Linked DNA regions of Ovis aries. The protein of the gene in region 3 interacts with the protein of the main gene of each other region in a pairwise test. Links are inferred from orthologs where the notes say so. Each region holds a gene or a part of one and is shown on either strand. Other genes may lie near its edges. The genes, in order: CGRRF1, cytochrome b-245 chaperone 1, CREB3, UNC50, NKG7, CDS2 and TSPAN4.

Region 1 (4,232 bases), on a different chromosome or scaffold from region 3:
TGAGCCTCCAAAGAAGAAAGGTCTTTAGAGGTTCTGCCCCACAGTCACCAAGCAAAGTACAGAAGGATAATAGCTTAATAATCTGCAGTCAAGAGGAAGCAGAGAGCAACTGCAGAGTCAGGGTCATGAATTAACTGAAACTATTTAAGGATGTATATAGCACTCCGGCCTCCTTTCTGCACACTGCCTGGCAAAATAGCTAGAGCTTGATAAATCTGAGTATTAGAGCTCACAGAAACCATCATGTAGTTAAACAGAAATTCAATACTTTCAGTTGTATTATTCTTTGCCACTGGGATTCCAACAGTCAGGTGCTTCCATTCTTTCTCTACTCCCACACAGTGTGAAAGACAGGGAAAGGAACTAAGCAATGGGTTTTGCAAAGCAGTACTGAGGTAAGAACCATGACAGAGAAGACAGATGCCCAACAGAAATTATATTGGGGGAGCTTAAAGAAAATGACAAGCACAGTGAAAAAGCATAGTGGATTAATGCATTTGCCTTCTGCCTGGGGGTACTATTAGAAAATTACTTTGAGGAGCTCTAGATGGCCTTCACTGTAAACGCTAGTTTAAAATAATAATAATAAGGTTATCTACATGGGCAAAGCTAACCCATATGGAGAGAATAGCTGGATTAAGCTTAAGATGACTGGTTAGGGCCAAATCAGGATGGAAGTGACTGGCACTATATAGTTTTGTGGCCTCAGCCATGCTTAATTCAGACTTCTCAAAGTTCTACAACTATCCGGGCCTCCATCCTTGTAAAGAAAGTGAAAGTGAAGTCGCTCAGTCATGTCTGACTCTTTGCGACCCTGCGGACTGTAGCCTACCGGGCTCCTCCGTCCATGGGATTATCCAGGCAAGAATGCTGGAGTGGGTTACCATTTCCTTCTCCAGGGGATCTTCCTGACCCAGGGATTGAACCTGGGTCTCCTGCATTGCAAGCAGACGCTTTAACCTCTGAGCCACCAGGGAAAAGTCATACTTAAATGGAGTGTTTGGATAATCATTAACTTTTCAAACCAAGTCTCAAATTTGGCAAAGCCAGGATTTGAACCTGTCTGACTCCAAAGTCTGTCTCTTTACCACCCCTGCATGAGGTTCTGAACTACCCTTCACTTACAGACACCACCATCACTATCAATAGGTCTTTACTAGTTTTCCTCCTCCCATAACTAAAGACAGATATCTACAATCTCTAATTAGTTGAATCAGGCCAACTGAAAATTAATTTTAAAATTATTAGGCTGATTAAAAATTAAAATTTAAGGATATTATGCAATTATCAACTGGTTACTTATTTTCCTTAATGGAGGAAAATTATACTCTTGAAGACACTAACAGTTTAGCCAATAAAAATCTTGTGTTTAGACATCTCTTCTCACTTAGACAACATCTTCCTAACTCCAATTACAAACTTTCTTGAAATGAACAACAGCAAGAAATTCTGATGTGTCAAGAATATCAGATTGTGTAAAATTGGTCCTATTCTTCCCCCACCAACCAAGAAAGAATTTTATAATCTACTGCTGACAACGTGGAAAGCAGTGTGAAAATGTTAAAAACTTTACTTAGTTCCTAAAGATGGCATATTTTCAGAAATTGACAAGAGCTTGTGTTCTTTCTTTAAAGTAATCACATGTGCATGATCGGTTGCTCAGTGGTATCCGACTCTTTGTAACCTCACAGACTGTAGCCCCCCAGACTCCTCTGTCCATGGGAGTTTCCAGGCAAGAATACTGGTGTGGGTTGCCATTTCTTCCTCCAGGGGATCTCCCACATCTCCTGCATTTCCTGCATTGGCAGGTGGATTCTTTACCACTGAGCCACCTGGGAAGCCCAAAGTAATCACATATACATGCTCAAAGGGTATTTTGAAACTCATATTACACAGCCTGCTCTATTCACTAGCATGTCTCCTCTGACCCTCTGTTCATGTAATCTCTAAAATGCCTTCTGTTCTCTACTATACACATTTAGCTCCAGTTCTTTTTCAAAATACTCACTCTTCAAAATCCAGCTCATGTCTCTCTCTTCAAAGGATGGACCTGTAAGATGGTTTCAGCTAGCTATAGTATAAGACGACTCTAAACATGATACAATGGCATCTCTTCGAGAGAGAAATTTTAGAATCTCTGAGCTAGAATGGCTCACGGATGAGCTAACAGTCTACTCTCCTAGTCTCCAATAAGAGAAGTGCCCTTATGCCTTAGTGTAACTTATCTCTGAGGTCTCTTCCAGCTCTAAAATTATGTCTTTATAGTTTCACCGTTCAAAAGGTGTGGAATGTGTGTAGAAATCAATACATTCTCAAACGGTTCAGAGTTCAGTTGTAAGTTACGCTGGAAGATCTCACGGCAAGTGCTCAGTTCACGTCAGAAGAGCAACGAACAACTGGGTCTACTATCCACGTCTGAGGACTGTACCGCAGATGACGGGCTCACTCCGGGCACACAGTAGGCCCCAAATCCGGACAGAAGCCTGTTGGACAGCCTCTCTATCCTCACACCAAGACCAAGCCCTTACTGGCTACTTTATCACCTAGAAAAAAGCTGGGTAAAATACCTCAATCCTGCACCATCCCCAGATACCCGCAGCGACGGGGATCGGACGATGATGCAGGGCAGTGATGCGGGTAGATGTCCACCTTGTTTTCCTCCTGAGCCAGTGGGAGCCCTGAGCACTGGCTCTCCGACAGCCCCAGTCCAGCAGTCACCCTGAAGCCCGCTGCTACTCATCTCCCCGGCTGTCCGCCCCGACGCCACTTGCCCATAGCCCTGGGGACTCTTACCATCCCAACACCAGGCCGGTGGTCACGATGAAGCAGGTAAAGACCACCGCGATGTAAAAAAGAGGCGAGTACTCATAGAGCGTTACGAGAAACACCGCAGCCATCAGGATCTCCTAAGCTGAGCCGGGCTCCTGCCGGCCAGCCCAGCCTAGCTCAGCCGGGCCCTCTCCGCCAGCGTAAAAGCCACTACGGTGCCCCGGAGCGGACAAACTTTGTAGATCCGCACTAGCCTAGCACTCCTGCAGGCTAGAGGTAGGGGTAGCCTCGCCGTGAGCGGGAGCCTGCGTGCCAATCACGGGGTCGCCTGCAGGGCTCGCCCCGCCCCTCCCGCTCCTGTGCCGAGTTACCGGCTTCGCCGAGGGGCGGGGCCCAGGCTCGCCCCGCCCCCGGCTCCCGGGTTTGATATCCCGCGGGCGTATTCTTTGGCTGTTTGTCCTAGCGGTCCACGGTTTTCTGCGGCAAAGTCGGAAGAGATATTGGTGCGGACTCCGTCCAAGACTCAGGTAGGGTGTTTTGATGCCAGAGAGAAGACTCAGCCCGAAATCCACGTCACAGAGCGTAAATCCTGAGATCCTGCCTATTACATCTGAGAGATGTGGCAGGAAGAGGAGAACCGGCATTTTAAATTCTACAAAGTAAAATAACCCCACACCAAATCTTGTTTTCTGTTCACAAAACTTAACAAATAGGCACTGTAGAAAACACCAAAGAGGCCCCCAAGCACTTTTTAGGCGCCTTGTCAGCCTTTTCAAGTTGGATTTAATGCTAGAGGCAAGTTAGCATTGGGTGTCAAGATTCTGAGAAATAAATCAACTGTTTTCCCATATGCCTTTCTTCTTTTCTTCGTCCCCCTCTACCCCTCAAATTAGAATTAGATACTTGAAAAAAATTAAATATTTGAATTTTTGTATTTTCACTTTAATAATAATTTAAAATATGTGTGCATATGTGATATACACACATATATACTAGAGATCTCTTCAAGAAAATTAGAGATACCAAAGGAACATTTCATGCAAAGATGGGCTCAATAAAGGAGAGAAATAGTATGGACCTAATGGAAGCAGAAGATATTAAGAGAAGGAGACAAAAATACACTGAAAAACTATACAAAAAAGATCTTCACGACCCAGATAATCATGATGGTGTGATCACTCACCTAGAGCTAGACATCCTGGAATGCGAAGTCAAGTGGGCCTTAGGAAGCATCACTACGAACAAAGCTAGTGGAGGTGACGGAATTCCAGTTGAGCTGTTTCAAATCCTGAAAGATGATGCTGTGCAAGTGCTGCAATCAATATGCCAGAAAATTTGGAAAACTCAGCAGTGGCCACAGGACTAGAAAAGATCCATTTTCATTCCAATCCCCAAAAAAGGCGATGCCAAAGAATGCTTACTACCACACAATTGCATTCATCTCACATGCTCAAAACTCTCCA
Region 2 (4,535 bases), on a different chromosome or scaffold from region 3:
AAAAGTCAACATGCCTACAGGGGGTGCCTCCTCCCAGAACAGCTGCTTCCCAGACTCTGGGCAGGAGTGGCCCCTGAGGGCCCAGCTGACTGCCCATGCCTCCAAGGACACCCCACCCCTGCCAAGGCCATCCAGCACTGTGGGCCCTGTCACACAGGGCAGGATGTGGTCCACCAGCTCTGCCTTCAGCTCTCCACGTGGGTGACTCCTCGAGATTACGATCATGGCACCGTGTGTGAGAGCAGAGATGGGGGACTACTTCCAGGGAGCTGCTGAAAGCATAGACTATTCCTGCCACAAGACCTGAGGCAGACATGAGAGTGCCTTTCTGCATATTTTATGACATGAAAATGCTGATGTAAATGAATGCAAGCTGTGGGGGGCACACAAGCGCATGAAGGTGAGACCACGCCTGCAAACCATTTAGAGGAAGAAAGTCCAACTCCTTATGACCCCATGGACTGTAACCTGCCAGCCTCCTCTGTCCATGGGATTTCCTAGGCAGAAGTGGGTAGCCATTCCCTTCTCCAGGGGCTATTCCCAACCCAGGGATAGAAACCAGGTCTCCCACACTGCAGGCAGATTCTTTACCATCTGAGCAACCAGGGAAGCCCCATTTAGAGGCAGGGACAATCCCCCAAATCATGCCTATCAGATTACAAATGACAGGGTTTCCTTTTTTTCTCTTATTTTCCAATCAGCTAAGGAAGCTCCTAGGGATGGGGCGGGGCAGGGCAGATGCCATTCCTCACCTCCACTGTAGTAGGCAGCAGCCAGGCCGATCGACAAGATTCCTGTGGGGAGAAAACCAGTCCCTTTCCATTGGGCCACCACTAGCCCAGAGACCACCTCCTCCCATGACCCGCAGACCCAGGTAAGCAGCCCCCCCTGCTGCCAGGGATGGCTAAGAGCAGGGAGCAGGGGGGCAAGAAAACCGCCAGGCTCAGAAATTGTGGAAACAACCAGGAAGTCTGTTTACAAGAATGTTCTACCTCAGTCACAGTATTCACTGGTCACATGTCTACGCTGAGGTTCCAGAGCTGACAGGGGAACCAGAAAGAGGAACCTGATGTGGGTCTCATCCACTGACAGCACATGGTGTGGAATGAAGACAAGACTGCAGGTGAAGAATCACAACCCCGCACGAGACGAAACAGGAAGAGTCCCGGGAAAGAAGGCCCAGAGCCAGGCTGCCGAAGGTGCAGCAGCACCTCCCCTCACACCTCAGTTCCAATTAACATGTGCAGCTGCCCAGGGAGTGCAGGGCAATGGGGATTGACAGGGTACAGGACCAGGGGCCTCCCCACCCTTACTCCTTACTGTCTCCATCACACAGGCCCTAACCTTATGAAAGCAAACAAAAAAGGAAATACAGGGACCTCACAGGAGCATGGAGACTATTAACCAAAGGATGTTAAATGGTGAAAAAACACAAGACTGACCCTCTGTAAAAGCACTCGAAAAGGATAAAAGCTGGAAAGACATAATAGTTGCTATTTCCTGGGGTAGTAGAACCAAGGAAAATTTTAGTTTAATCTTCATCCTTTTGTAAAGTTGGATTTTTAACTTGAGAAATATGAACATCCTTACCAACCAGCAGGGACCAGGATCTGATGCCTGGAGCCCTCTTCAGATGGAGGCGGGAGCTGGTGCGTGTCTCCACCTGCATATACATCCCTGGAACGTGCTGCCACCACCTTCAACAAGAGACCAGGGCGCCTAGGGAAGGACACAAAGAGACAGCTGGAGCCCTTGGGCCGCTGCTAACAGACAAGAACCCAGCTGCTCTCCAGGACAGGATGCCCAGCTGCCCACTGACAAGGTCCACACAGGTTCAGAAACCACTCAGCCTGTGCTGACTGCTGTCCTGTGGTCAGGCAAGTCAACCCCCTAGGGACCCATGTCCTCTGTAAGGAAGGTTCTTTGCGCAGATATAGTGGTTGCACTGGGGCTATGTCCCCTGCTCTGGCTCACAAAGCTTCAACATTTGATCATCACCTGTCCACTTCTTACCTGGAAACCTCAGTCTCTTGGAAACCGTTAGCCCCCAGCAGCCTCCAAACTTCTGGCACCCTATCAGAACGTACCAGAACACCCTCATTTCCCTGTACAGGCCTATGAAAAAGAGAACTGAAAGTCTCGTCATGGTTTGATGAGAGGCACTGATCGAAAAGTCAGTTCCTGCAGCTGCGGAGACAACAGTCCGCACCCAGCGGAGGGTTTGGACGGCCAGGAGCACCAGCTTAATGAACGAGTCAGCAAAGGGGACTGATCTTCCACAAGTGGAGAATTCTGCCCTGCAATACGTTCAAAATGCTGGCTCCAGGGGCCCCGTTTTGGGTAGCTTTTCAGGTGTTCTCTGTAAAGTTGTCAAATTTCTGACAACAAAGAGTGGATTCAGTTCACACAAACGAAGCCAAGATCCTGCGATATCCCCGGCTCCCTCCCTTTGACACGCTTCGCCTGTTTCCACACGCGACTCGGCCGCCCGCGGGGCGAGATCACTCCTGTCACCTGCACGAGCCGCTTAGGACACTCTCCACTGACCCTTGCGGCCACACTGTGCACCCTTCTAGCCTCGAGCGCTGCCAGGCCCCCGGGGCATCGACCCGGGCCGGGTCACAAGACCGCGCTCCCGGAAGGACCTCGGCTGCGGGAGCCGCCCCTCAGCACACCCCGCGCCCCCCAACCCGCAACCGTGGCACAGCCCGGGCGCTCACCGCAGACACAAACCTGCAGGCGCGGAGGCGGGACGGGCGGGACCGGCAGGACTTCAAAACGCGCCGGCCTCCAACTTCCGGAGCTGGGGGCGGGACCAACTGACTTCCGGACCCGCGGGGGCGGATGGGACAGTAGACTTCCAGACTCGGGGGCGGGGCGAGGCGCGCGGGTCCTGACTTCCGGGGCTTCCATTTAGCCCTCGAGAGAAGAGGGCTGGCGGGGCTCTAGAATGAGGTTGACTACCAATCAGTAGAGATTGCGGAGGCTGTCATGGGTTTTGCGCACCCCGGCACTCAGCACAGAGCGCCTGGGGTTGCAGTCTTTAGAAGATCAGCGGAGGCAGGTGAAGTTGTAAGCACGGGACAGCCATTTAAGATGGTAAGGAAACGTGAAGTATATATTTAAGCTCACAACAGATACATACAAACATTATGGTAGGTTCTGTAAAAACTTTAATGGGAAGCATTAAAATAGAACTAAAATAGTTGTTCGTGGTTTGGAAAATTATAGTACAAATGTGAATTCTCCCAACTTGCTCTGTAGATTGAATTGCGAACCTAGTAAGAGTATCAACAGGTTGAAAAATCGGCACAGCGCTGCAAGGCACTGTGGAGGAGGGTAGGAGAGAACTAGAGATCCTTGACCCCCCCAAAAAAACTCAGTGTAGCTGGGAAATTCACATTTTCGTGAGGGCAGTTTTTCTGCTCCTCCTAAACTTGCCCCATTGTAGGGGAAGGAGGACTGTAGTAAGAGATCATATTCTCCAGGAATACCTTGAAATGGCCGCTTAGGTGGCCTCCCTGCTCCACTCTCCAGCAAAACACTCATAATGTACCGCCAGGGCCCCCAGATGAGGCCCCAAGTAGGACCCTGATTTGCCTATTTCCCACTAGAGGATTACCTGAAACAGGAGAGCCTCTACCGCACAGCCACTGCATCAGTGGCCTCCAAACTGGGACGGTCAAGATGATCTATAGAGTGCTGGAAGAACATACTAGAGCTTGTATTCCTACTTATCTTTTTATGTCTATTCTCATGTGTCCTATAATTTACATAAGACTTATACACAGTGTATAAAGAAATATACACACATGGGTATGCATAACCCTAGATGTTTTACCAATATAGGCACAATGTCAAAAATTGGGGGATGACTTTTCTATTTCACCAGTCTCTATGTACTCTGCCTGTGGTTCAGAATCACCTGGTGGGGCTACTGAAACACAGACCACTGGACCTGTTCCAGCAATGGATGGGGCTTGAAATGTACTCATGCTGGTGCCTGCTGCTCTGAGAACCACACCCAGAGAACTTAAGCTCAGAGCTGTAACAAAAGTAGGTTCTGCAAGAATGTGGCAGGTTCCCTGACCTGATGCCTCAGCCCACATTCTATTTCCTTGAAATGCCTTCTGTGGTAAGATTACCGCCATCTTGAAGGTCTATTTGAATTGCTTAGCACCTCCTTTAAGTCCTCTCTGCTTGTGATCTTAATTCCTTAGAATTTAGGGAGAACTGAATTGATACCCAGAAAATTCCACTTTGCATTACAGTCCTTGACATAATTTAACCTTTTATACCAGAGTACAAGCCATTTAAAAATGAAGCCTACACTGGCTTTCTATTAATGTTAAATGAGAGAACAAATGATGGCTGATTTGATTAAAATCCTGCTGAATATAGGTAAGAGCAAAAGACTGGAAATAAATACAAAATACACAAATAGGGGACTGAGTGAATAAAATCTGTACATTTTTTTCCAGTTATCAATACATTACATCTTTGTTTTAAATTCAGACTGCATTGCCCGTTCTATG
Region 3 (4,228 bases):
TCCTCACCAGGGATTATATTCTCTATCTTCTGGCCCAACTCACATATTTTAGGGTTCCAGCCAGACTGGACTAGGCTGTGTCCTCTCTGCCTAGAATGCTCCCCACCCCCATCCCAGAATCATATCTTCTATCAAATGCCATCTGCCACATGAGGTCTTACTCCCTCTCTTCCTCCTTGATACTTATACTTGTGAATTTATTCCCCATTACTGTGAGCTTCATGGAATCAGAGACCCACTAAAGACCAAGCATCAGACATATGTGAGAGATGCCCGGTGACAAATCAAATATGGAGCAGGAGAAAGACTGAGACAGTAGTAAGCGGGAGGGATGAGCAAACCCTGATGTGAAAGAGCTGCTTACAGATTCTGTTCCTCCAGGAGCTGTACTTTGTTCTGTAGCTCCAGATTCTGGGCTGTGTATTTCAGGACCCTGGAGGAATAACAGGGATGTGGGGACATGGCCTGTATCCTCCCTTCAAAAACCTCACACTTCCAATTACCTGTTTCTCCCACCCCCGAGTCCAGCTCCCTTTCATACCTGCTTTCTAAACCCCCCACATACACCTTCTTCTTCCTACGGCTCTCTTGAGCAGACTTTTTGTTTCGAATCTTCCTCCGCACTCGTTTCAGGACTTGTTCCTCCATCTGGGAGAAGACAGGAAAAGGGATCCCATCAGAGGAACATTAGACCAAAGAGTTTGAAGGCAACCGAGTTCAATCTTCTCAAAGCAGAGATTCCTTCTACAATTTCCCTGACCAATAGGCACTCTGCTTCTGTCTGAATGCTTCTGTCCTCACAAGCCAAACCATTGTAACAATTTTGTTAGATAATTTTTTTTTAAAACCTTCCTTATGAGCCAACATCTGCCTTTGTTATTTCTACCTGTTGGACTTACCTAGCACCTAATCTCTGGGGCCATAATAGAACAAAGGTCTTCAGCTATTTTAAAGCACTTGGCATTTCTTCAGAGTTAAAAAAAAAAAAAAAAACTGGGCAAAAATTTTAACTCATCATCTTATCTCTTCTCAGGATGGACTGCATCTTCTTAATATCTGTCAAAGATAATAGGCTCAAAACTTAAGAAGCTTTTTGGCCAATGTAAAAGAAAACAAGATAGTTACTGCCCTTCTAGTGGCAACACTATTAGATAACTGGTATCTGATGATACAACTGGGCTTCCCCAGTGCCTCAGCAGTAAAGAATCTGCCTACAATGCAGGCGACTCAGGAAACACAGGTTCCATCCCTGGGTTGGGATGATCCCCTGGAGAAGGAAATTGCAACGTACTCCAGTATTCTTGTCTGGGAAATCCCATGGACAGAGGAGTTTGGGGGCCATAGTCCATGGAATTACAAAGAGTTGGACACGACTTAGCGACCAAACAACAACAACTAAATCTGATGATACAGCTTCTAAACCCCATTCTCTTCCTTAGTAGCCATATCACACTGTTGACTCAACTTGTACTTTTTTTTGGCCACACCTCGCACTTGTGGAATCTCAGTTCCCAGACCAGGGGATTGCACCCTGGTGCAGACCAGGATTGCACCCTGACCCTGAGCAGTGAAAGCACAGAGTCCTAACCACTGGATTGCCAGGGGATTGCCTCAACTTATATTTTTGAGAAATTAAAATTGTTAACCTTTCTGTTAACAGACATTGATTTCATCATAGTATCACAATACTGTGCATGTGAAACTGCCTCTCATTGCTTGAAACTCCAAATTTCACATTTACTCTTGTTATACTACTTAATTGTTATACTACTTGTTATACTACTCTAATACTTGATTTACTATTCAGCTACAAGTAAATTGCATGAAACCAGTGAAATATAAGTATCAGAGCCCCGCGCTTGTACAGTACTTTCCAAATCCCTTTACTAATATTACCCTGATAATTTTGAATTCTTAGTTAAAAAGAACACCAAAATTTATAAAAGCACTACAAACCAGGATCTGTCCTTGCAAGCAGTATACTAACCACATGCCCCAGCTTCCTACTCAAAAATGTGCTAATCTCTCACCTCAATTCTTTTTCAAGTTACTGATACAAAATTAACAGAACTGGCCTACTTGGAACTCACAACCCCCGTCCCCGCGATGGGAGACTTACCTTAGTGAGTGGAAGCATCCCAGGCAAAGTAAGCCCCTCCTTCTCCAACAGCCTTTTCTCCTCCTCAGTCAGTATCAGCCTAGCAATCTCCTGCGGTTCCGGAGAGATGGGCAGCAGAGTTGCAAAGGGATTTCAGAAAGTAACGCGGAATACTGCCCCGACCCGCGCAATACGGAAATAACCCTCCTATAAGTCAAGTACCTGATCTGCCGGCTCCTCCACACACAGTGGAGTCATCTGAGTCCCCTCTTTTCCATAGCTCTCATTATCTGCAAAAGGGAAAATATGAGTAGTCAGGCCTCGGAGTCCTCTCCTTTCCCAAACTTCACTTATTTCAGGCTTACCTAGATCTATGGAGACATGCTCTTGTGAGAGAGAATAGGTGTGGTCATGCTGGACAAGACAGGAGTTAGAGCTGCTGAAAACGTTCAACGATGATGGGGGACTCGGCAGGCAGCTCAGGAAATCCTCCACGTCCCAATCGCTCAGAGACTGCACAGGGTTCAAATTGACAGGCTTTGACCATCACCACCCCCTGCCTCAGGGACACCCCTACCCCGCCCACAAACCCGCCTCACGCCTCCCCGACTCAGAGCCCCCCACTCGCCTCAGAAAGTGGCAGCTCCCAATCCGGCGGAGACGCCAAGGCCTCGTCGGGCGCCGCACCCAAACCACCGCTTTCCTCTAGCAGAAAGCCTAGCAGGTCACGGTCACCCGGGTCCAACGCCAGCTCCATATGAGACATTTATGGAAAAGATGCGCAGAAACACAGGAGTTCACCTCGCCACCCGGACCCTATCCCCAACCAGGCGTAACCGCGACGGACTGTCAGTCGGCCCCACCTATCGGCTCTTCAGCGGCGTTTTCCTCCTAGCTGCTGGCGAAGGCTCTGAAACCGGGACACGCCTTCCAGACTCCACTCCCCGCTAGACTTCCAACAGAACACAAGTGACGCACCTACCCGCGAGGCATGCCGGGAGTTGGAGTCCCCCACCCCACCCCGACGCGGAGGCTGCCGCTGTACGCGCCACGTCCAGGGCGCGATGCAAATAGAGGGGACGTGCCTTCCGCCTCCGCAGTCCCTGAGGGCGGGCATTCTGAGGAAGCGGCTCCGCCCCGGGCTAGAAAAAGGAAGGATTACAGCCTAAAAGGGAACTAGGGCGCAGTTCTGGCGCTTCCTCGGGACTGCACCGCACCCTCGCTTCCGGCTGGGGAGGGGCTGCCGGTCGTCAGCGGGCTCCCGAGCATCGAGAGCTGGGGCCAGAGCAGCTTCCTGCAGTGCCCGCGACCATAGAGCGCGGGCCCAGGGCGCCGCCCGCGGGTGGGGGACGTTCCCGGGACGGAAGTGGCCGAGAGTGTCGAAGGGAGGGCGAGGCCGCAGCCCGAGAGCCACCGGGAGAACGAGCGGGTTAGCGGGCCGGCGGGCGGGGCACAGAGCCGGGCAGCGCAGGTAGGCCGGACCGGGCGAACTGGGGCCTCAGGGTGGGGCCGCGACACCAGGCCTGGGAGGCGGGCGGGCAGGGCCCCTGACTTCTGCGTCTGTTTCGGGTCATCTTGGAGAGGTTCGCGTCCGGTGTATCTCTGCTTGTGCTCTGAGTTAAATAGGCAGTTTTTCGGCAGCCAGGCCCTTCCTGGAGCAGTCCTCGGCCTAGGATAGTTTAGAGGGAGGGTGAGGAGTGGGTGGCAGTGTGACGCAGGGCGGGGATCGGCTTTGAGGTTAGCTGATAGCGGGTACGTGAGCAGGAATGGGTGAGTTGGAGATTAGGTGGAGTTGGGTTTTAGGAGTTAAGGTTAGCTTTAGGAGTGTGCAGCTGGGGTTAAAATTTAGATTTATTAGTGTGAGGTGCGTTTTGTGTAGGTGAGGTTTGGATTAAGGGCATTATTTTGTTTTCTATAACGACCAACATTAGAGTTCAGGTTAAGGGTCAACAACAGAAACTAAGTTAGAAGTCCAGATTTAGGGATTAGAGAAGGTTAGCATAGCCAGTACAGGGGATAAACAAGAAAGGGGTGAATCAGGAATCAAGTGACAAATGAACTTTAGGTTTAGGGATGAAGATTCAGGGTTAAAGGTCCAGAGTTGATGCTACAGGTAAAAATTAGATCAAA
Region 4 (3,454 bases), on a different chromosome or scaffold from region 3:
TGACTGTGCCTTCATCACTGTTTCTCTGTGCCACAGCCGTTCATGTGTATTTGAAATAAAGAAGTTTAAAAAGCCATGTTGAATTCAAGACTCCTAATAAAAAACAGGTAAAACTTCATGAGTACCAAGCTTTTTTATTATTATAATTTTAACACTGATATATAATAGCTTACCGGGACTATTTCCTGTTAGAAAACAATAGTAGATTTGTGTGTTTTGGAAAGTCTTTAAAGAAAAAAAAAAAGCCTTCGTTAAGACCATGACTATCAGTGTTACACAGAGGTTCACTCCCACCTTAAGTGTGCTATGCAGCTCCCAGAGTAAGAAGAGCTTCTGGGGGAGTCTTCAGTTGGGTATTTTTTTTTTTTTTTTGCATAAACAATGGCTATTAGTGACATTTACAGCCTGTAGTTCAGTGATTCCTAAGGAGACTTTTAAAGCTTAAATTAGGACCCTGTGGCTTATATAAAAGTTTAAAATGCAGCCTGTTAGAAATGGGGGTGACTCTGTACCTTGTCAGTAACAGCTGGGGAGGGGATGGCACACATATGACTATGTGGATACGCCTTCAAAAATAATGTTAAAAAGTTTCACCTTTGTATTTTCTTTATAGCCTTAGTACTTTGTATATCATTCTGTGTGCAAATATTTATGAATAAAAGGTAACACTTTAGTTTAAAAAATATTTATTGTAGAAATGTACATTTAATCAGTTTTAAGGAATGTACTATTAACATTTATAGTTCTTCAAATTTGCAAACTTTGTACCTTTAAGATATCTACAATGATAGTTTATTTACAGGTTTCACAGGAAATCACCACCTCACCGATACTGTTGCTGCTGCTCAGATGTAAGGGGCCCCCTGGCTCACTTCACTCTGTACTTGTAGAAGGAGCAGAGCGTGTGGGTGAAGTTCCAGCCCAGGGCTAGTGAGAGTCCGTAGAGCAGGATGAGAGGTGCAAACGGGTAGAGAAGGATCACCGTGTTTTTCAAAAATGGCAGTGCTGGAAAAGGGCCAGGATTCAGGTTAAGGGTGAGAGTCAGTATCGCCAGTTATTCATGGATCAAGTGGTGAATTGAAACCTGTGATGCTTCAGAAGCTTCCCATCTTAATGTACCAGCAGACATGGGTGACGTTACAGGAGAAAAACAGCTTTCAGCCGTTTGAGATTTCCCAACCGAGGGAGTGTTACACCTCCACTTGGAGAAAGTGAGCTCTCAACTAGTAATCCCAGACTTTAGGAAAGAAATGAAGCTCTCAAATATAAAACCCACCCCCAGATATCTGTGTTTCCTTCTTTCTCACTTGCGGCTTCCTGATAGTGGGTCTATACCCCATGCATTCAAATCTAAGTATTTCTCATACAAGTAGTCCCCAAACTGAAACTGAGCTGTGCCCAAAGAATCTTCTAAATTGTAGTGAGTTACCAGGACAGTGCTCCAAAATCCACTTCCATCTCCCCCGAACGAGAGACAGGACCTCCCCAATGCCCAAAACAAGGTGTTACAATTTGGAGGTGGGGGGGGGGGGGCAAGTGGTTCCTGACAAAGTCAAGGGGACTCTCTGACCAGTGGAATCAGTCACATGTGAGTCCAAGTGACCTAGGTTTACAGTAAGATTCTAATCATCTAGAGGGACAATAAAGGAAAGAGCTACAACACATAACACTAACAAATCATAAGATCTCTAAATTTAACTCTTAACAGCAGTCATTTCTTTACATGAAGAAAAATAAACATGGTTCTCATTCATACTATGAAAGACGAACCGATAGCAGGATTGAGTAATGAATTTATAAACATATCCTGAGTGCAGCAGAAGCTGGGCTTGATCTTCTGTGATTATCCCCAGTATCTCCCACCCCTAGGCTTCTCCAGTCCAGCAGGTGGCCTGGGACCAACACAGATGTTTACAAAATGAAGAGTATTTCACAATCGTCCCCCAAACAGAAAATACGGTAAAGGTTTTAAACATGCCCATACACTGGACCCAACCCTTTCCTCATCTGACTGACTGCTGGAAACCCAGAACCCAAAAACCTGGGAGAAAAGAAAACTCGTCATGGGTTCCTGCAAGAAACCTGGAGAGCATCAGATGGTTTAACATGGTTCCTTGAAATTATAAAGTTTGTTATGTACCAGCTATGCCACTTTGGAGCTATGGGACCATGGATAAATTACTTAATCTCTCTGGGCTTGTCTCCTCATTTGAAAAATGGGGAATAGTAAACCTGTATCATATAACTAAAGATTAACTGGAAGAATTTATGTAAAACACCAGCGACAGTACCAGCTCCATAAAAGCTCAGTGTATCACCGTTAAAACTTCTCCCCTCCCTGTAGTGTTGTCAAGGAGAAAAATCAATTACTTACCACTGTATCCTAAGAAAGTTACATAGATATAGTAGCCAACGGCAACCAACCATAAGGTATTTCCAACTAAATATCCAATAAATGTGTCTGTTAGGATGACATCTGCCGAAGAGACATGGACAATGAATCTTTTTTCAGTGGATACAATGAAGACTTTCTGATGACAAGTTTAGAAGAAACTGCTACTTACGGTTGATGAAAAAAAGCTGTATAAAATGCAGAATGACCAAGAGAGGATAAAAAGCATTCAGATGCACATCAAAGGCATAGCCCCACTCCACATCATAGTCTCTGCTCTGCCGTTTCACTAAATACTTATTGGAGATAAACCTGAAAAAAATTATAGCATTTCTTTCATAATACAATAAAATTAACCCCATGCGTATTTACTGGCTGTCTTCTATAGCTCAAGCATTATTCCATACACTGGAGAGATGGTGGTAAGCAAACGTCTGCCTTCAATCTAGTGGAAGTGGACTGACAACAATACAGTCAGACGGCCCTAGGAAAAAACTGAGCAGGACAGCAGGGCAGGGGCTGCAAAGGTGACATGTCAGCCACGACGAGAGTCCCGAGAGTGACATCTGGGCAAAGAACCAGGGGCAGCGATGGGAACCCCTGGGGCAGAGCCCTCCGAGCAGGAGGAGTCTTGAGCACGGGTGGGGGAGGGGCTCAGAGTGCCTGCAACTGGTGAGAAGATAGCAGGGAATGAAATGGGAGAAGAAAAGGGAGCATCTTATAGACCCTGTGGCCACTGCAGACGTTTGGCTTTTACTCTTGGTGGAATAAGAAGTCACTGTGGAGTTCCCAAAAGGACGTTTGGCTTACTGTTTTGACGGGGTTCCTCTGGCTGCGGTCTGAGAACAGACCCTTGGGACAAGAATGGAAGCGAAGAGGCAGGAGGGGGAGGTCACTGCGAGGAGGAGACGAGAGGCTGGCGGCAGCGGGGGCCCTGGCCTGGGGGCAACTACAGCTGGGAGGCCCGAACAGCCAGAGTAGCGTACGACACAGTGGGTGCCAGAGGAAAACGTTAGTCAAGGACAACTGAGAGACTCCTGCCCTAAAACAAGTGAAAGATGG
Region 5 (3,603 bases), on a different chromosome or scaffold from region 3:
TACAGCGTGCAGGCTCAGTACTTGTGGCTCATGGGCCCAGTTGCTCCAAGGCACGTAGAATCTTCCTGGACCAGGGATCGAACCTGTGTCCCCTATACTGGCAGGCGGATTCCTGTCCACTTCTCCACCAGGGAAGTCCCTCCCCCCGCCCTGAATCTTTCTGGCTCCTCCTTTCCTTCTCATGCCCTGGCCCCAGTGCAACCTTGTAATGTCTCGTGTCCCTCCTGTTGGATTGCAGTCTTTTTTCTCTCCCCTTCTGGCCTCCAGAGGGTGCAGAGTGGGGGGCTTTCTGGCACCCAAACCAGATGCTGTCCCTCCCCTGCTCCACCCTTAGCTCCCTATCACCCTCAAGAGAGTCAATTGTGGGGTTAGAGGTGCTACTTCTCACCCATCCTCATTTCCTGTCACCCTCTCACATTCGACAGTGGACCACAAAGTGCTGTTCCCCATCTTGTGAGAACTCCCAGCCTCTCCATGCCTCCACTTTGGGGTCCCTCTGCCTGCATTACCTTTCCTCATCCCTGGAGAAGTTCCTAAACACATTCTCCCCAGAAAGCTCACCCCCACATCCCACCTCTCCCCCAGACACAGCCAGTCCTCCTGCAATACCAGCCCTGGGCTCTGCCTGCCCCTGTGGGACTTGGAGCCCCTGGCAGGCAGGGCCCAGTCTGAGTCACCTCGGCATCTACGGTGGAAGGCCCAGCAGAAAGGATGCGCTCAGGAAAAGCCAGCCGAAGGAGTGAATTTATTAATGAAATGAACAAGGACTAAGGATGAACGCCAGGGTGACTAAATCAGAGAGGGAGCCAAAAGACAAGAACTAAAAGGAGGAAGGTACAAGGAAGACCTCCCTGTTGGCCCAGGGGTTAAGACTCTGTGCTTCCGCTCCAGGGGGAGCAGGTTCAATCCCTGGTCCCGGAAGTTTGCATGCCATGCAGTCAAAAAGGAAAAAAAAAAAAAAGACACAGGGAAGAAAAGAGATGGAAGGACAAAGAAGAGAGACAACAAGGACCCTAAGGCCATGTCTGAGCCTAGACTGGTCCCCACACTGGGTAGGAGCTCCCGAAGGGCAGGGCGGGTGGCAGGACTGACTCCCCTCTGGGTGCCCAGCGTCACCCACCATGGAGCTGGCATGTCATCAGTTTATGTCGTAGCTGCATGACCCTTTGAATAACCAGATCCCGGCAAATTTTTGTTGAATGAATGAAGCTACAAAGGAAGAAGCTTGTGGAGGCTGAGAGTCAGGGCAGGCTGGCTGGAAGGAGAGCCAGCTGTTGCTTTCAGGATTCCTGATGATGCCTTCAGAGAACAGAGCTCTAAGGCCATCCTGCGGTTCACATGGCCTCGTAGCCAGGCCGGTGGGTCGTGCAGTGAGCACCCAGACTCAGGCCACCTGGGGTAGCAGAGAAAAGTTAGATACTTGCTCCTCTCCTGCTCCCTCAGAGCCCCCAGCCAGCCCCAACCCTCCCAGCCAGCCCCTCCCCCAGCCAGCCCCCACCCCAGCCCCAGCCAGCCCCTCAAGCCAGCCCCAGAACTCCCCAGGCAGCAATCACAATCACCTGTACAGAGAAAGAGGAGTGTTGAAACCCAGCCCAGGTAGAAGGACCATGCGAAGAAGCTCTGGACCTGGGGGTTTCCTGGCTGGTTCCACCGCTCAATGGTGTAGACCGTCATAGCCACTATCAGGGACAGGGCTGGGGATGGAGACATGAGGGTCGGGTCAGCCCCCCTGCAGCAGCTCCCCCTCCTCAGCACCCCTCCTCCCCGCCCCCAAGCCCAGCACGGAGTCCTCACCTCCAGCAAAGGCCATGAAGGTGGAGACAATGGGGCCGCGTCCGGGGGCAGACAGCGAAGGGATGCAAGACATGACCAGAAAGGCCGTGGAGATCAGGCCCCACAGGACGGCCAGGATGCAGAAGCTCTGCGTCACATGGATGTAGCCTGCTCGGAAATGGGACCTCTGACTGCCCGTCCCCGCAGGCTTTTCCCAGCACCAAGACCACACCCCCAGCCCTTACCTGCTACTGAGACTTGATCCTTGCTGGGCCAGAGGCCTGAGTGAGATGAAGACTTGGGCCCCTGGGCTGCAAACCAGAAATTCGTGCTCAGAGCCACTAAGAGGGACACCAGGCCCAGGGAGCTGGTGAGGAGGGCCAGGGACCGGCAGGGCTCCATGGGGGTGAAGTCTGGGTTCCTGGGTCCTGGGTGGCAAGGACGAGGCTGGTGATCTAGCCTCCTGGGTCTCTGAAAGAGGAGGAAGTCTGTTCCCCCTCCGCCCCAGATTCCTGGGTCCTCTGGTCTCAAGAAAGAGAAACCAGCAAGCGCTAGGGGCGGCTGGGGGGTGGTCTTTGCTCCTCAACGTCAGGCCCGTTTGGTCTCAGCCTGTCCAGGGCAGCTGCTCTGTGTGACACACCCTGCCTTCCTGGCTTGCATCGACACCCGTCCCCCCAACCCCGCCCCTCTCTGAGGTTTCCCTCACCCTGGACGGTGGCGGCGGGGGTTGGCCCTGAAGATGTCACATTGTCACTGGTTTGGAACTTGTCTGTCTCCACAGAAGCCTCTCTATATGCTGCCCTTGGGGGCCTCCGCACCAGAGGGGCTTCCTGGAAAAGGTGAGAGAAAGAGATGGGAGGTGGGTAGAGGAGTGAGCAGAGGGGGCATGCGGTGAGTGAGGCTGGGGTGTGAGTTAGATGGGAGGGGAGGTGTGACTAGAGGGAGACAGTGGGGGAATGCATCATGCTTTCCTGTAATTCTGCAATTTTCCGTTCTGGGAGGTGGGGGCCCCTAATTCTAGGGTCTCTGAAAAAAGAGAGGGGGCAGTTGGCAAGGATGCTGGGCGCTGCATGAGGAAGGTGCTAGAAGCCTAGACTCCAGGTGCTGAACTCAGACTCCTGGCTCCTTGCTTGGAGCTTGTGCCGGGGGGAAGGTAGATAGTGACCACAGTTCTGAAAGTTTGCAGAGGGGAAGACGTGCCCACATCCTGGTACAAATGAGTTCACAAACAGCTCGGCCGAGGGTAAGGCGTTCAGCCTGGTGGGCTTCATCGCCGGGATCGGGGTTTCTGTGGTCAGGGGGAGAGGGGGGATGGGTAAAGGATGTCAGGGCAAGACTTTCCGGCTCTCCTCACCTCAACCAGCGTCAGGCTCTGGGCCCCACCTCAGGCACAAGGGGAAGGTGTCACGGCCCAGCGGGGAGGCGCAGACCCTAACCCTATCTCTGTGAAGCAGGAGTGACCTGGAACAGGACTGCTGTCCCAAAGAGGAACTGAGCCGACAGTCCCAGGACAGCCGGCGAAGGGGAGAACAAGAGTGGCTGCAGGAGGCCGGTCCTCTTCCTTGGCTGGAGACTCCAGTTTGCAGAGTTTGCCCCCCATCTAGATCCTCACCACCTGGGCAACTGGTCACTCCTGAGAACACGCTTGGGAGGACAGGCTCCTGGAAGGAGATCCTGGTCATGGACAGCTGGGGCACCATCTCGAAAGCGGTGATGGACCCGGCTCCTGTGAGGAGCAGCTGGACAGGCTTCAGGAAGTCTGGGCTGAGGGCATGTGATGATCACATGCTCGGAACCCATCTGTGATCTTCTGTTTTTCCTTTTTCTCCC
Region 6 (3,747 bases), on a different chromosome or scaffold from region 3:
AAAATCTCTAAATAAGGGCTGCACAAAATCAAGTGGGAAACATAAAACCATACAGGGAAGAAACTGAATTCATGACAAGAGAGGGCATACAATTTGTCACATTTTATTTCTCACACACACAAAAAAATGGATCTAGAGCAAGTTATGCCACTCATTAAGATGTGCACAGCTGTGTGTTACAACAGTCTCTGGAAGCTTGTCTGTTCAGTGAAAGATTTTCAATAAACGGGAGAAAGAAAATCAGTGTGCTATATAGACACAAGGTGGTGTCTGTCTCCTGGCTACTTCCTACGAAATTCCCCTATTTCACCAGAAAGCATGTGGGAAACCAGAAGGAAACAAAACCCTAGCTGACCCTCAGGCTCTCTGGATGGCAGCTCTGTTGAGCTTCCAGCTGCCATTTCCTGGAACCCTCATCAGCAGCCATGTCCACAGGTATGTGCCAGGCTCCCTGATCCCAAAGGTGGCTCTCTGCTGCCAGGTCCCAGCTGAGATTTCCTGTCCCCAAGGACCCACCTATCTGCCCACAGGGGGACACCATGAGACAAATGAAGTGCCATTCTATCTTTGGTTTGGGGAACCAAGTTCATTCTTCATTCAGAAAACTAGATTCATTGCTCCACTCTAAGATTTATTGCTGAGGACAAGCATTTTAAGGAAAAGTATTTAGAAAAGGCGTGTAAGCACTTAATTTTTGCGTGCCCAGGACATGACTCAACACCTGCAAGCAGCCTCTGCAAGTACGTATACTTGCTCAGCCAGAATCATGGAATATGAGAACTAGAAGACAGCTCAGAAAACGAGAACCCACAGTGATGTGTCCTGCCCAGTGCCACATGGCCAGCACTGAACACACATTCTGTTTTTAAGGGGGCCTTAGACTTAGAAAAGCCATTTACTGAAACAGAAATAAAAGTTCAGAAGAAAGAAGCTACTGCACGTAGACGGTCACACAGTGACTGTGAACACAGACATCAAAAGGGGTCTGGCCTGTGCTGGACACCTCAGTGATTTGGGCTGGCTGCGAGCGTCCACAGATACAGTAAGGTTGAGATAAACACAAAGAAAGAAAAGCAGCACCAGCCCAAGGTGCTGAAACAAGCTGTTATACCCCCGTTTGGCAATGAGAACCACCATGGCACAGAATAATGAAACACATTTGGGCACCAATCTCTCTCCCCTCTACCCCCTTGCTTATTATCCTGACAAAGAATGTATATTCCAAAAGTCAACCTCACTCTTCTAATTAAAAGAAAAAAATAAATAAATCACAATTTAAAAAGAAAAAGGTCCCGCTGTAAAATACAAACTACATTTAAACTGGTCATATTATACAAGTGTGCATTTAATCTTCAGAAGCTTCAAACCTCTGGGTTGGGTTATGCAGAGTTGTAAGCAGGACTTTGTGGTTTCAGTGAAGAAGTCATGGTAATTGAAATCACTGTAAGAAATAAGTGATTTTTAAAGCACACACACAGATATACACTTGCCTTAAGAGTAATATATATATATATATATATATTAATATATACAACACAGCAGCTACATGGGTGGTCAGCCAGGTCAAGGGCATGGGTGTGTGAACAAGAAGCCCTCTGCTCCCTGCCTAATGAGGAAGCCCCCAGAAAGGATTCAGCAGCAACAAGTCTATAGCACAAATGTGAATAGCATCATCCCTGAAAAGACCCAGTTAGCCAACTGCCCTATAGGAGCCACTTGAGCCTAAACCCTGTGGGAAAAGACCTAGTTACAGCATCCTACTGCATACACTTGAAATAGAACAGTGTGGCTTTTTTCCAGACTATTATAATTTTTCATGCCTTTTGAAAAAAATTAAAACTGAAACCTTCTTCAGTCTGTGATGAAGTGAGGTGAATCCATATCAAAAAGCAAAGCTCACAGTCCACAGGATTTCATGAACAGAATGCCTATCTGATTAATAAGCCTTCATCCTTCTTCCCTCAGAAGGCAACCCTCCTGTAGCTCCAAGGCAGGGATTATTGAGAAGCCCAGGAAAAGCACTCCAGTAGTAAAGACATCCAAGCTGTGTAACTCTTCCCTGCTGGGGGTCAGCTACAAAGACAGTCGGTGGTGGGGGGCCTAAACTAGACAAACACAGATGAATGAGTGTCCACTCTGATCAGGCCCAGAAATGGAAGCTCCAGCTTAGGAGCTAGAAGCACCAAGCAGGCACTCCAGAGCTGGGCAACACTGTCTTCCAGAATGTTAAAAGCTTTGGTTTTAAAAACAAAAATTGACTTCTTTCCAACTCAAAGCTATAGGTTACTCACAACCCAAATCATAAGCATATGGACTGTATACACTGTAGATTTTTTTTTTCAATCCACAAATAGAAACACTGGTTTAAAAAAAAAAAAAAGTGAGTTGAAGCTTGTCTTTGTCCAGCTAGGCTTGCCTGGGAGCCCTGCCCCTCACTCAGCCCTGTTTCGGCTCTCCTGGCCCTGGGTGGCCCCTACTTGTCCTCTGTGGCAGCTGTCAGCATCCCCTTGTCGGTCAGGTGAGACTTGAGCGTGTTGAAGATATGGAGTTGCTGATCTGGCCTCAAGGTCAGGAACTGCTGAACCAGCTTACTTGGGTTTGGGCCCCTGCAAGAGGATGAACAAACAACACTGAGCAAAGCAGGAGCCAAGCACTTCAAGGGCCTGATTATTTTAGTGGCTGTTCCCTTCCTGGATCCTCTACTAATGGAGGGTAGGAGGGGACCTCAGAGAATCCATAACTAATAGCAACTGAAAACTTCATTCATATTTGGGATTTTTTCACTCAAACTGAGAAGTAGATGAAATTCTAAAATCCGCCAACTTGGTTCAGACAGAAAGGTACTATACCTGATAAAACTAGCAATATACACATTGACAAAGGTGGCCATCAGATACTGGCAGTCAAAGCGATCCATGATGCCTCCATGGCCAGGAATGGTATTGGCAAAGTCCTGTTAGAGGAAGGAAAGGATTGGTGAGCCTGGCTTCATCCAAGTCAAAGCCTTGTCTATGGTCACACCTCAGTGTCCACCTACTGTACTCTACAGCTGAGGGCAACAGAAAGTGAAAAGTATTGATTCAGGTGCTGAAGCTATAGTATACAATCCTATTAAATTATAAAACATCTCTTTTGAAGAAAGATTAACATAAAAAATTATCATAAAACTGAAATCCAACCACAGAATTTTCTTAGAAACAAGGTATCTTCCTTTATCCTACTTAAATTCCATGCATGGGTGAAGAGTACATATTAACAGTCAGGGTTCACAGTCTGGTATTCTGAAGGGGGTGGTAGTTGATGAGGTGAGACAGGAGGAGGAAGGCAGAGACGGTGAAAAGGGGCCTGGCTGGGAGACAATGAGAGGAACAAAAAGGGTTTTCCTACTTTGATCTTAAAGGCTCGTTTGAATCCACTAGCGAAGAACCCTCCGAAGGGGCCGATGAGCGAGGCAAAAGTAGAGAGGGCAATGCTGTGAATCTGGAAGGGGTACATCCGCACTGTTTTCTGAAAAGAACAAATGAAATCAGTTCAGATGCCTGCAAGCCCAGGCTTATTACTTGTTACCATTAAAAAAAAAAAAAAAGACAAAAAACCACATCTTTATGAAACTATATCTCCCCCCAAAATTAGAAAAAAAGACTGGTTTAGGAGTTCTCTTTCTGCTAAATCTCTAATATACTGCTTAACAGAGGACATTAACATATTATGCGTTCAGTCTACAGCAATATGTTTTGTTTGAAGTAT
Region 7 (4,199 bases), on a different chromosome or scaffold from region 3:
TGCGGCAGACGGGCCCCAGCAGAGCCAGTGAGCGGGGCCCCAGCAGAGCCAGTGAGCGTGCCCGCACCTCAGGGTGCAGAGCCGGCCGCCCAGCCCGGGCCCCCAGGTTGCCAGCTCTGAGGCGACTGCGAGGAGCCAGGAGGCCCCGCCAACACAAACAGGCCTGCGGAGCCGGCCTTCCTGCTGCTGCTTCAGCCCCCGACCCCGGGGGAGGGGCGCACAAGCACCCGGGCCCACAGGCCCTCCTCCCGCTGGCCTGGAAGACACTGCCTCCAGGAGAGGTGCCCCCGGGAAGAGGCCACCCAGAGGCCTCCAGCGCTTCCCCAGGCCCAGTGAGGACAACCCCGAGGACAGGGGCTCCCCTCAGGACCCTCCCGCCACCCTGGGGCCTGGCAGCTCCCTTCCCCACCTGGGCACTGACACTCCAGCCTGCCCCCTACACACCAGTGCCCTCTGGGAGCCCCACGCACGGCCGAGCGGGCCATCCTCAAGGACCATGCCCATCCACAGGGTCACGAGGTTGCACAGCTGGCCGGCAAACACCGCCAGGGACCCCAGGGCCCAGAGGGTCACCGAGGGTGCAGCAGGTGGGCGACTCCGTCAAACCCTGACGAGGCATCCACGCCCCCTGCTCACCACACCGCCCCCCACGTGTGAGCACAGCTTACCCAGAGCGGCCAGAGCTTGGGCGCTCGGGGCTGCGCTGGGATCCTGCCCCTCCACCTGCGTGGCCTCCGCCCCCCCCCCCACCCACAGAAGGGGAGGCAGACGCTGTGGTCCAAGACGGGGCGCAGGGTCAGCTGCCTCCTGGGCAGCTCCGTCTCTCAGGAGGCGTTTCCAGGACAACACCCGGGGCACAGGGTCTCAGCGGCTGAAGCTTTGATCGTGGATTTCCCCTTGTCCCCCGCCTGCCCTGAAGTGACCCTCCTCTGGCAGGAAGTAGGGCGCACGGGTTCCAGACCACGTGAGCACCACCCTCCCGCCCTGTGCCCCCGCCCCTGGGGGCAGGAACCCCCTCCTCGGAAACCCAGCGCCTCACTCTCCCTGCCCATCTCCAGGCCAAGCCCGAGGTCTGGGCCACATCTGCGCTCATCCCCAGGGCCCCCACCACGGGCCTGTGCCACCCCGGCGCCCCCATGAGTGCACCAGGCCCCTGGGATGCTCTCTGCCCCTGCCCACCCTGAGGACAGCTGGACTATGCCCAGCCTGCCCCCTCAGCACCCACAGGGAGGGAGAAGGCCCAGCGGGGGAGAAGGCTGACGTGAGGCCCCCCAGGGTCCTCAGGTCCAGCCTGGCCAGGCCTGAGCCAGGGTGGGGTGGGCACGGAGGCCAAGTGCCCAAGGGGCCTCTGAGCACACGTGTGCTGGTGGCCTGTGCCACCACGCTGCTCAGCAATCCCCTCCTGGGAAACCAGGGAGCTGCAGGGAGGAGTCCCCCCCGCCTCAATCCACACGCAGTTCTCGGAATTCCAGGAATGTCCACTTGGCTCTCCCGCCGCCCCCCAGTCTCTGGGAGTAAACAGCCACTGCGCCAGAACGAGGTGCGGTGGACCACGGGGCCCTCCCCCAGGAAGCCTGCACGCACCCACCCCCGCTCTAGAAGAGCCTCCCGCCTATCCCCCTCACCTCTGCAGACGCAGCTGCCTCTACAGCTGAGCCTGGGTCCACCCCAGGCCACTGTGACTCAAGGCCCCATCCCAGCCGGGGACAGGATGTGCGTCCAGTCAGCTTGGGAAGGGGGGGCAGGCAGGGCAGGGAAGTGGCTTCTGCTCGTGGCTCCGCACGTGGCAGGGTGGGGGACGGCGAACCCCGCTGGGGAGGGTGGCCAGAGCCAAACTCCAGACGCAGAAGTGCTGGCCAGCCTCCCTGGGACCTCCACTCCCAGCCCCTTGACTTACAGTCAGAGTCCACCACCCACCCCAGGTGGACTCTGAGCTAAAGCCTGGGACCCAACATGGTGGGCCCACCCCCACCCCCCACCCCAACCAGAGACCCTGACGCCCCAGGCCAGCAAATATGAGGAGACCCTGCCTAGGTGCCTAGCCCACCCTCCTCAGCCCAAAGCTCGCCTCCTCCAGGGAGCCTTCCTTGCTTCTCAGTGCACACAGCCCTCTCCCAGCCGCCAGTCACAGGATCAGGGGGCTCACCTCTCGCCACTTCCCGAGACACAGCCCCCGCCCCCGCCCCCCCCCCGCTCCCTTTAAACCCCCACCGCCTCCAGCTCCCACAGCTTCTGTCCCGCACGGACGGGTGTCTGTCCGGCTCCCTCTTTAAGTCTCAGCTCAAAAGACACCCCGAGTGCCCTCCCGACCCTCAGAGCCGGCGCTCCCGGGTCACTGGCGCCCGCCCCTGCCGAGCGCGGACTGGAGCCTGGGCCGCCAGCGCCTCCCCCGGGAAGAAGGCAGGAGGGGGGGCCAAGCTGACCGCGGCGACGGCCGGAGCCCCCACCGGCTGGGTCGCCCCGCGCCGCCCGCCTGCAGGGATACGGGCAGCTACCGGGCCGGGACCGTTACTGTGCAGGCGACCCGGCCAGGCGGCGACCTCGAGGGTCCCTCGGACTCTGCGCAGAGACCCCCGAGTGCCCGCGGGCAGCGGCCCCAGGCGGAGAGGCCGCCCCCTGCCCGGCCCCTCCGGCCGCTCTCCGCGCCCCAGACCCGGCTCGCAACTTGTTGCTGAAACGCGGCTCGCGCTCTGCGCTCGGGGCCCCAGTTCGCGCGGGCCCGGCCGCACTCCGCCCGCGGCCCGGCAGGGGCGCTGTACCTGCCTCGCGCCCGCCGCGCGGAGTCGGTCGGCCGGGCACGAGGAACGCGAACGCCGCCGCCGAGCCCTTGCGGCCCCGCGCGGACGCCGTAGGCCGGGACGTACCAAGGCGCGGGCGGGGGGCTCCCGCCGGGCCCCGCCCCCGGCCCCGGCCCCCGGGCCCCGGCCCCCGGGCCCGCGCCCGCCGGAGGAGCCGCCGTCGCGGCGGGAGGCGGATGCCGGCGGCGCCGGGGCCGCGGGGAGGTGCACGGGGCGGGCCGGGCCGGCACCCCCGCGCCATGGGCGCGCCATGGGCACGCCGGGGCGGAAGCGCCGGGGGATCCGGGCGTCGGGCCGCCGGGCCGCGAAGCTTCTAGCTCCCGCGCCGCCGCCATGATCATCCCCGTTCGCTGCTTCACGTGTGGCAAGATCGTCGGCAACAAGTGGGAGGCCTACCTGGGCCTGCTGCAGGCCGAGTACACCGAGGGGTGAGGGGCGCGCTCCCGGCCGCCGGCCTGCGGGGCCCGGGGCGGGGAGGGTTTCCCAGCCTGCGCGGCCCGGGGCGAGGACAGGGGCGCCCGGCCTAAGGGGAGGGTTTCCCAGCCTGCGGGGCCCGGGGCGGCGGGACGGGGGCCCGGCCTGCGGGGCCCGGGGCGAGGACAGGGGCGCCCGGCCTAAGGGGAGGGTTTCCCAGCCTGCGGGGCTCGGAGCGAGGACACGGGGGCCCCGGCCTGCGGGGCCCGGGGCAGGGTCAAGGGGGCCTAGCCTGCGGCGTCGGCGTCTCGGGCGGCTGTCGAGGATCCAGGCTTGAGGGGTTGGGGTCTTGAGGCGGCAGTCAGGGGTCTTGGTCTCCAGGTCAGGAGCAAGGGACGTTCATCAGATCCCAGGTGACGCCGGCAAGGCTTTTATTCCCGGAGCCTTTGCCAGCCCTGTTCTCCAGACCTGCTCTCAGGAAAGCGTCTCCCACCCCCCAGTTCAGGCAGACGAGGGGAGCTAGTTGTCAAGCGCTGGTGTCTGGGGACTCGAGTATTCTGGCTCCACGCCTCCACCGCAGATAGGCCCCTGGCCACCTCTGTCCGTCAGCTCCCTAAGTTCTCCCTGCTATTAGGCCCACCCCGTGTCCTCAAAGACACTGATGCTGGGCAAGATGGAAGGCGAAAGGAGAAAGGAGCGGCAGAGGAGGACGCGGTTAGGTAGCATCAGCAGCTCAATGGACAGGAGTTCAAGCAAACTCTGGGAGATAGAGGAGAACATGAGCTCAGCGAGCTGCAGTCCATGGCGTCACGGACACGACCGAGCGGCTGAACAACAAACCGTGTCTTGCAGACTCACGGGCTTTTTTAGTACATAGGACAAGCTTCTGATCACATAGCCGTCATCATCAGGCTTTTGTGGGGTCCCTTTTCCGTGTTTGCCCCTTGGCACTGCAGTTACCGCCTTACTTGTCTGAGTTTACCCTAG

What was found.
Region 1: the proteins of CREB3 (region 3) and CGRRF1 interact in a two-hybrid assay, tested with the Homo sapiens proteins (2 studies listed by BioGRID and IntAct). The two-hybrid records come from large-scale screens. The link is inferred for Ovis aries from reciprocal best matches to the Homo sapiens genes CREB3 and CGRRF1.
Region 2: the proteins of CREB3 (region 3) and cytochrome b-245 chaperone 1 interact in a two-hybrid assay, tested with the Homo sapiens proteins (2 studies listed by BioGRID and IntAct). The two-hybrid records come from large-scale screens. The link is inferred for Ovis aries from reciprocal best matches to the Homo sapiens genes CREB3 and CYBC1.
Region 4: the proteins of CREB3 (region 3) and UNC50 interact in a two-hybrid assay, tested with the Homo sapiens proteins (2 studies listed by BioGRID and IntAct). The two-hybrid records come from large-scale screens. The link is inferred for Ovis aries from reciprocal best matches to the Homo sapiens genes CREB3 and UNC50.
Region 5: the proteins of CREB3 (region 3) and NKG7 interact in a two-hybrid assay, tested with the Homo sapiens proteins (2 studies listed by BioGRID and IntAct). The two-hybrid records come from large-scale screens. The link is inferred for Ovis aries from reciprocal best matches to the Homo sapiens genes CREB3 and NKG7.
Region 6: the proteins of CREB3 (region 3) and CDS2 interact in a two-hybrid assay, tested with the Homo sapiens proteins (2 studies listed by BioGRID and IntAct). The two-hybrid records come from large-scale screens. The link is inferred for Ovis aries from reciprocal best matches to the Homo sapiens genes CREB3 and CDS2.
Region 7: the proteins of CREB3 (region 3) and TSPAN4 interact in a two-hybrid assay, tested with the Homo sapiens proteins (2 studies listed by BioGRID and IntAct). The two-hybrid records come from large-scale screens. The link is inferred for Ovis aries from reciprocal best matches to the Homo sapiens genes CREB3 and TSPAN4.

What each region holds. Positions count from the first base shown.
Region 1 is NC_056060.1:65,103,926-65,108,157, reverse strand, and holds the start of CGRRF1 (cell growth regulator with RING finger domain protein 1), read right to left. Parts: upstream 2,982-4,232; 5' UTR 2,898-2,981; coding exon 2,794-2,897; intron 1-2,793. UniProt on the Homo sapiens protein: Able to inhibit growth in several cell lines.
Region 2 is NC_056064.1:49,807,976-49,812,510, reverse strand, and holds the start of cytochrome b-245 chaperone 1, read right to left. Parts: upstream 2,822-4,535; 5' UTR 2,014-2,821; intron 1,720-2,013; 5' UTR 1,676-1,719; coding exon 1,591-1,675; intron 795-1,590; coding exon 753-794; intron 1-752. UniProt on the Homo sapiens protein: Functions as a chaperone necessary for a stable expression of the CYBA and CYBB subunits of the cytochrome b-245 heterodimer. Controls the phagocyte respiratory burst and is essential for innate immunity.
Region 3 is NC_056055.1:52,808,218-52,812,445, forward strand, and holds the start of CREB3 (cyclic AMP-responsive element-binding protein 3), read right to left. Parts: upstream 3,011-4,228; 5' UTR 2,865-3,010; coding exon 2,727-2,864; intron 2,612-2,726; coding exon 2,464-2,611; intron 2,389-2,463; coding exon 2,321-2,388; intron 2,210-2,320; coding exon 2,120-2,209; intron 649-2,119; coding exon 542-648; intron 434-541; coding exon 365-433; intron 1-364. UniProt on the Homo sapiens protein: Endoplasmic reticulum (ER)-bound sequence-specific transcription factor that directly binds DNA and activates transcription. Plays a role in the unfolded protein response (UPR), promoting cell survival versus ER stress-induced apoptotic cell death.
Region 4 is NC_056056.1:102,628,215-102,631,668, forward strand, and holds the end of UNC50 (protein unc-50 homolog), read right to left. Parts: intron 2,705-3,454; coding exon 2,565-2,704; intron 2,477-2,564; coding exon 2,375-2,476; intron 1,006-2,374; coding exon 869-1,005; 3' UTR 670-868; downstream 1-669. UniProt on the Homo sapiens protein: Involved in the cell surface expression of neuronal nicotinic receptors. Binds RNA.
Region 5 is NC_056067.1:57,519,764-57,523,366, forward strand, and holds NKG7 (protein NKG7), read right to left. Parts: upstream 2,407-3,603; 5' UTR 2,176-2,406; coding exon 2,019-2,175; intron 1,942-2,018; coding exon 1,795-1,941; intron 1,695-1,794; coding exon 1,560-1,694; intron 1,394-1,559; coding exon 1,335-1,393; 3' UTR 727-1,334; downstream 1-726.
Region 6 is NC_056066.1:47,098,125-47,101,871, reverse strand, and holds part of CDS2 (phosphatidate cytidylyltransferase 2), read right to left. Parts: intron 3,508-3,747; coding exon 3,388-3,507; intron 2,954-3,387; coding exon 2,850-2,953; intron 2,607-2,849; coding exon 2,474-2,606; 3' UTR 1-2,473. UniProt on the Homo sapiens protein: Catalyzes the conversion of phosphatidic acid (PA) to CDP-diacylglycerol (CDP-DAG), an essential intermediate in the synthesis of phosphatidylglycerol, cardiolipin and phosphatidylinositol.
Region 7 is NC_056074.1:46,913,221-46,917,419, forward strand, and holds the start of TSPAN4 (tetraspanin-4), read right to left. Parts: upstream 2,822-4,199; 5' UTR 2,760-2,821; intron 1,681-2,759; exon of another isoform or gene 669-1,680; intron 1-668. Other genes in the region: POLR2L (DNA-directed RNA polymerases I, II, and III subunit RPABC5), read left to right, coding at 3,132-3,226. UniProt on the Homo sapiens protein: Structural component of specialized membrane microdomains known as tetraspanin-enriched microdomains (TERMs), which act as platforms for receptor clustering and signaling.